Coturnix japonica: one gene and its partner. The protein of the gene in region 2 interacts with the protein of the main gene of each other region in a biochemical or structural test. Links are inferred from orthologs where the notes say so. Each region holds a gene or a part of one and is shown on either strand. Other genes may lie near its edges.

Region 1 (3,651 bases), on a different chromosome or scaffold from region 2:
CCTGCATGAGTCCATATTTTGTCCAGCAGTTCTGAAGGCTCTGGTGGGTTCTGCAACTTCCACCTTCTATAAAAGAACCTTCTGCTTCCTGCTTGCATGTTTATTTTCTAGGGGATGCATTTATATTTTCTCCATAGACACTCCATGAAGCAGTGCTGCTCAGAGGTAACAGTAGACACAGACTGCAGCTTACAGTTTAGCTCCTATAGATAGATTGGTGTATTGGCCATATCAGAAATACTTTATAGCATTTCACCTGCTTGCTTTTTGGCATTCCCATAATTCAATAGATAAAACAATGGTTTCAGTGGCTTGTAGAGAACAACTTCAGCACTGGGATTACAAAACATAAAATAAAACAAAAAAATTTCCTCTTCCCTTTTTAATTCCTAATAAAGCATTTAGGTTTAACAAACAGAACAAATCAATACTGGAGTTCTTGCCTGCCCTACCAAAGGCACAAGTACTGCACTGCAGGAATGCCAAGCAATTATCAAACCATCAGAATTTAAAAACAACATATTCCATAAAGCACCTGGATGCAGTTGTGCACTGCATTTGTACACTGCATTACACAGCTGTACACAAAGTGCATTGAAACAACTGAAATGTTGGGAGCACAAGACAAGAAGCTTAAAATATGCAATTCTTAGTGTGTGCTAATGAACACAATTAGACTTCATTTGTTTGAGAACTGGGAGAGAAAGTCTTAAGGAAATCCTCCTATTATTAACATTAAAAGAAAGAGCGCGTACCACAATGTAGGGAATCAAGGCTGCCTAGGAGGTACAACTCGCACGTTAATAATACAGCACAAGATATATTCAGTGCTCATTTCTATGGTAACTACCATTGTGGTGAGTTGACATTTGAGAAATTACTTCTATATGGAGAAAATAAATATGCAAACTCTACTGGAAAGACCTGATGTATTAACATGTACTGGTTACTCATCTTGTTCATTTTTTACTATCTAACAATCACAAAATTGGCTACACTGGGCGGGCATAATGCTTTACCACTGTTAGGGATTCCTGCTTAGGCATTTCTTTGCATCCGTACTTTACATTAGCTAATTTTGTTTTCCAGGTGGCATAATGGTATCATCTCATCTCATCTCTTTTCCCTGGTTTGGATTTTTATTAACTTTTACACCAGTTATGTTGAACATTGCACCTCAGCTTTCTGTGTCATCTTAAACCTTTCACAAACAGCTCAGGTCATTGCACGGCTGTCTGAGGGGACCTCTGCTGAGGATCTGCTTGACCATTCTGCTTACTGATCCTGATAATGGGCAGTTTCCTCTTCTAACACTCTCTATCCTGTCTGTAAAGTTGTCCCTCTGGGGCTTTCTGAACTGTATTGCCAATTTAATTTGTCTCTTCCCAACATTATCGCTTAAATTAACAACTTCATTCAGAATAGCTATCAAAACATCATCTCCTCAAAAACAGGAGCGATGTTCACCTGTATCGGCAATTCAAACAATATAAATGGGATTCATCAGAGATGCACTTGACAACAGAGAAAACATCTCATTTGCACAGGAGATTGAATAACTGCACTATTAACCAGAACCACCGTCAGTGAACTTAGTAACTCAGTTCACAAGCAGAGACAACTTTGAAATTAGATATCAAACAAAGTATTTATGAATGTCCGTGCTCCAGCCTGAGAATTCAACTGAGATGTGAAACACAGGAATGAGACAGCAGTAGTATCTACACAGAGGAAATGCTATGCCACGAAGGCCAAGTGCAGCCTGTACCTGTTTGTGAGGACCCCTGAGTATGTGTGCCTTGGCGCCTTCGCACGCTGTCCTCATTGCCTCCAGTGAGGGCGTTCCCAGCAGGTCTGTGATCAGATCCAGCTGCAGGTACAGAACATACACAATTGGGATTTCAGGTATATATTAATATGTTTCACTATGATAGCAGATTCTGGAGCTAAACTAACACGTGAACCAGTGCTTTCACTGTATTTTTGCAGAAGCGAATGTATATGTTCCTATTGTGAATGAAAACAAAAACATCCTGTAGGAGTCAAAGTTAAAAAGCAAACAACCAATAAATCCTGCCAGTAGAGAGCTCAGCTCCTTGGTTCCAAGGGTTCCCTCATGACCACCATCCACTCATGCTAACAAGCAATTGCCCAGCCCCCCTCTGAGACTAAACCCATTAAAGCCATTACCATCATTACACAGGCATGAAAATCACTCATTGACTGCTGGCATCAAAGTGAGAAATGTGATTACTGTCTGTACACCAAACGTGTTGCTACACTTGGTGGCTTCTCTCCATCTCAGCTCCACTCCCAGGCAGAAGCACTGCTCTGTGAGGCACCACCAGGTCCATCAGCCCCACAACTCAAATACAATACTGTTATACACTGATGGGAACGTTACTTTCTCTTATTCATAGTCAGAAAAATATTGATCCCATTTACATCACTTTAAAATGCCACAGTAAACGTTGGTACTGCAGCAGATTAAAGGGAATAAAAAAAAAAATCACAAATTTCAAAAGCTAATGACAATTATTACTACTTTTAACAACATCTGGAAACCATCGCTTCAGTGTTACAAAGAGTTTGGTTTCCTGCCCATGAGTAAACTAAGCAAAACAAAAGGAAGTTCAAGATTCAAAATGCATCGGTATAACTAACTCCATCAAACTGTTTTAGAGGGAAGTTTAATGATACCTGCTGAATGGGACTCTGTGCCTGAAACAATATTCTTCGCCCGAGCAGTTCTGCAAAGATGCAGCCTACAGACCAGATGTCAATAGCATTGCTGTAGTGGCGGCTGCCCATCAGGATTTCTGGAGCTCGATAATACTGAGTGACAACTTCCTGAGTCATGTGACGAGATTCATCTAATTCTTCCACCCTGGCCAATCCAAAATCACAAATCTAAATTGAGAAGGTAAATAAAAAAATTAAAATAACCAAAACACTTAATGCGCTTCAAATAGGCAGCCTGGTGGTAACGGAGCATGTCATTCCAAGCCAGCATTTAAATGAATCGGATAATCCATAACTGCACAAGCCAAGGGAAGAGGGAATAGGTAGAAGTTGTTACTTTGTTCCGTATCCATTTAAACTTCCCACCATTTTATTTGAAATCTCAGTATATTTTTAGTTGGCTTTGCAGGACTCAGTCTGAAAGCACACACACAAAAACAAGCACTCGAAGTAAACCCTGGGTTCAGAATATCCCAAGCTAGATCTCATTTGTTCATGGGATGCCTCCAAAACGTTGCAGATTCAGCCTTGTCGCACCCCAGTTCGGGGGATTTTTAAAAGTTTCCTTAACCAGAAGGGTTAAGAAAGCAGACTGACTTTTCCACAATTGGATCGCACAGCAAATCAGTGTATAGAAATCTGTCTTGGTATTCAGCATTGCTATACAGCACACCTGCATAATTCCACAGGCCTAAGAAGTCCCTGTGAGCACATGCACCGCCTCAGAGTGCCTGAGCCCTGGCTGCCAGCACAGCAGCAATTCTGACCCATGAGTCAGAAGGAGAACACAGATGTCTATGTGGGCACAGAAGGAACAATGTCCCAACATGGAACACCTTCGTTTCATTGATAATTTTTAAAGAATCTGTGCGACATTTTTCCCCCCCGTTTAAATTGACTTTACAGGAA
Region 2 (3,651 bases):
AGGAGATAAGCAAACAAAAGCAACTCTAACTCTAAACCCTATAGCCTTCTACAGTGCTGAGTGCTCACTAGGGAAACCCTGCCGTTTCTTGCTTCTCGCAGAAAGTGACTTGCAGACACTTGTTGAACCTTTGGAATAATGCAGTACAAATTGATACCCTATTAGTCACGATACACATTCATAATCCTGGAAGTGAATTATGAGGCAACTTTGGGATAACAAACACAATGCTGATATTACTTAAAACAAGGTCTTGCACTGATGAAAGGAAACATCTTGACAATTGTTTCGTAGGCATAAGTTTTTAGATGATGATGCAACAACTTTTATCTTTCCTCCAGTGGCATCTGACACCTTATGCAATTTCATTGCTAAGTTCCTTCTGCCTTTTTCCCCCCCTCTCCTTTCCTTTTTTTTGCTTCTTCCTTTAGACACAGAACCACACAGCAAACTACCCCGGCTGGCACAGCACCACGGTTGCTGACAATACCAGGACCAGTGGTGACAATGCACCTGTTTCCTGTTTGGGGGAACACCACCACTGTACTCCATCTCCGCCAGTGGATCATGGTTGCTTACCTGAGGAAAGTGCATCCCCCGCACGGTGCATGATTGTTCACCAGAGCAACATCCTGGATAATGTTAAGAATCTCTTAGAATTTGCAGAAACACTCCAGTTAATAGACTCCGTAAGTAAAACTGTCGCCTCAGGTGCATTTGTGTGTGGTCAAGGAGTAAGGGGAGAGGAACTGGGACCATCCTAAAACTATTGTTGTTGTGTTTTTTTTTCTTCTGAGTAACTTCTAATTGCTACAAGATCCGAAGCTTAGCTTCCAAAATAACAACACCTGGCTGCTCGTAAGTGAAGCCCCTGAGTGTGGAAGTGTTTGCTCTTTGTGCGTGTCTCCCTTTCCTGCTGCATCTTGGTATGGGAGTGTGATTCTTAGTGAACGACACATTACAAGTATGAAACAGTCTCTTACCGTGCTGCATCTCCCTACTAAGAGCAGAGACACAATGGAAGATTTTAAGCAGTGAAACAATACTTTCTTAGATTGGAAATGACACATGCTGTAGGTTTACATGTGGCCGATCATGTGTCTGCATCGTTTTCTAAAATTTCCCATTGAAGCATCAATTGCTGCTTCCTAGAGCAAAAGGGGTTTGCCCTAGTGTATGTGGAGAACCGGAGACACTGATTTTAACTTCCAGGTAGCTGAGTGACACTGACATGGCCTTTTACCATCATGATCTCTGGAGTACTGTGTGTAACATGAGTGGCATGGTCAAATACGTTTGCTGATAGCACTCTGCTTCATCAGCAGAGGGGTCGGCTTCATGCAGTGCTACATACCCTTTTGCATTTCCAGAGCAGTTGTGCTGGCTCAGAGGAGGCCAGTCTTGGTTGGGAGTCCAAGGCACATGTTTTTGGTTTTTTTCCTAATGATTTTCTGTCTTTGTTCTGCACAGAAAATGCTGGACTAACCAATAGTAAGGACATCATTTGACTGACTGTTTCTTTAGGACTTCACTTGCCACCAACACTGCTAGGGTGCTAGCTTGATATGCTTGACATGTAGACTGAAAACACAAATAAGAGATCCGAGTATCAGTACTCAAATAAAAACCATCAAGCAGAATTGAATTGGGAAAGCTTTGTATCCTAGTGCTGCATTTTCATGAGGTGGCACCATATACTGTCTTATGGCTCCGTGCCTCCCACGTTGTTTCAGGATCCTTCATCATGGGGTGATCTCAGCAGTTTTGAATTCTTTGAAGACGCAGACATTCTGGCTGGCAAAGCTACCTCAGGCAGAGCCGTGCAGCTGCAGCATGGAGGGGCCAGTGCTTGTGGACCTCCAGGACACCCCATCTCAAACCTGAGCAAAACCATGTCAAGTCAGGGCCCTCCTGGCTCACCAAAGTCCTTGTCTGCCTCGCAGGGCAGTGCGGCTCCGTGGGTCCTTCGCAAAAGGAGAGGGCATGTCAGCCCCTTAGCCAGTGGCCCCAGTAGCACCTTGGGACTGGCTGACGGCAGCAGCTCAACTTCTAAGCACTCCCCTGTCAAAAGCCTGCCCTTCTCTCCCTCGCAGGTAGATGATGACTTCTGCACAGATGTTACTAATTCTCAAAAGTCACTGCAGTGTTAACAATTTAGAAACTAATCCTTTGGAACAAATGACTAATTACCGTTGCACTTGTTGATTTCACTCCATGTTTGAATCTCGTCACTACTCCTAGTCCTTGCTGCTGAGTGTAGATCATCTGCAAGCTAACTGTTGATTTTCTTCTTTCAAATTCATCTGTGGAGCTTGGGTTTTTCTTTTTGATTTGGGTTTTTACTTTGGAGGGGATTGCAATCGCTTGCTTTGCTCACACTGTTAACTCCTTCAGCTACTAGATTTAAACATTTCTGATCATTGGTAATACTTTCCATCACTGTCCACTTACAGTATGATTCATTGACCTAGAAAACCCCAAATTGCGTTTAAATAGCATTCGGGTTGTGAGACAAACTGGCAACAACTAGAAAATTCTAATTGTGGGGTGGAGTGGAAGAGGAATGAAGAGAAAATCAGACTCTTACAATTACCTGGTGTGCACTTTGAAATTCTTGTGCACTGTTGCTTTGTTTCACAGCTGCAGCACTATTTAAAGGTGTTTTGTTTTGGTTTGTCTGTTTCTGTTGTTTTTGCCTTGATTTGATGTTAAAGTCAGAGAAATGCTGTTTCATGAAGAGTATGTATAGATGGCAGATAATGATCTCCTACCATATCTCCAATTATGCGTTAGGTATTTTAATCACATATCACTTGTCCAGTAAAATTCGTGTTATCATACATACCATGTTTTTTTCTAATCTGGTACAAGTGAAGTGCAGCAGGTAACCTGGTGAATCAGTGTCCAAATGAAGGATACCAGGACACTCACAGATTTATAGGTACTAGAAATGGAAGCTGTATTTTTGGCTGTCAAGTGGAACTCGTGGAGAAGCAATTTTCTCCAAACTGTTGCCTCCACCTCCTTTTCAGTCAGCTGAAAACACTCCACACTCCCATCGTAGGCAGTGAATTTCATTTTATGTTGTGAAAACGGAGCACTTTGTTTTGAGAGAGATGATAAGAAATTTATTTTCCTGTCATAGCTGCCTTATTTACTGCTTCAGAAGTATTTAGATTCCCCTAATAAAAATGTATGGAACTGTGGAAACCTGATTTCCAATGGGTTTCTTCCTGAAACATCCTCTACTCATCTTCTCTTGTTTCTTACCTCAAGCTCTCGATATTAATTACAATCTGTTTGCAGAAAATCCATATCAGATGTTTAAGTGGTAGAGATAGTATCTGTTTGGAATGGAGTGTCATCTTGTTTGTGATTTCCCACAATAGAGATGTCAGTCCTTACTTCCTGAATGCTCCAATCAGACAGTTTGCAGAATATATTTTTTCCACATAGTCAGGTACTCCACACGCACCTACCCATATGGTAGGGACAAGAGAGTCACTTATGGCAGTGAGAAGGAAATAACTTATGTTTTCTTCTGTTCATTAAAGTCAGATGAAGAAGTTGGCGTCACAATTTAGATGGTCCTGCTGATTTTCTTCTTTTCCTGCCTACAGTTCTTAAACACATCGTCCAATCACGAAAATC

What was found. The genes of interacting proteins can lie anywhere in the genome.
Region 1: of the proteins of MYB (region 2) and NLK, one has a biochemical effect on the other in vitro, tested with the Homo sapiens proteins (2 studies listed by BioGRID, with this or other methods). The link is inferred for Coturnix japonica from reciprocal best matches to the Homo sapiens genes MYB and NLK.

What each region holds. Positions count from the first base shown.
Region 1 is NC_029534.1:8,031,350-8,035,000, reverse strand, and holds part of NLK (serine/threonine-protein kinase NLK), read right to left. Parts: intron 2,911-3,651; coding exon 2,701-2,910; intron 1,871-2,700; coding exon 1,769-1,870; intron 1-1,768. UniProt on the Homo sapiens protein: Serine/threonine-protein kinase that regulates a number of transcription factors with key roles in cell fate determination. Positive effector of the non-canonical Wnt signaling pathway, acting downstream of WNT5A, MAP3K7/TAK1 and HIPK2.
Region 2 is NC_029518.1:50,403,444-50,407,094, reverse strand, and holds part of MYB (transcriptional activator Myb), read left to right. Parts: intron 1-431; coding exon 432-689; intron 690-1,733; coding exon 1,734-2,093; intron 2,094-3,620; coding exon 3,621-3,651. UniProt on the Homo sapiens protein: Transcriptional activator; DNA-binding protein that specifically recognize the sequence 5'-YAAC[GT]G-3'. Plays an important role in the control of proliferation and differentiation of hematopoietic progenitor cells.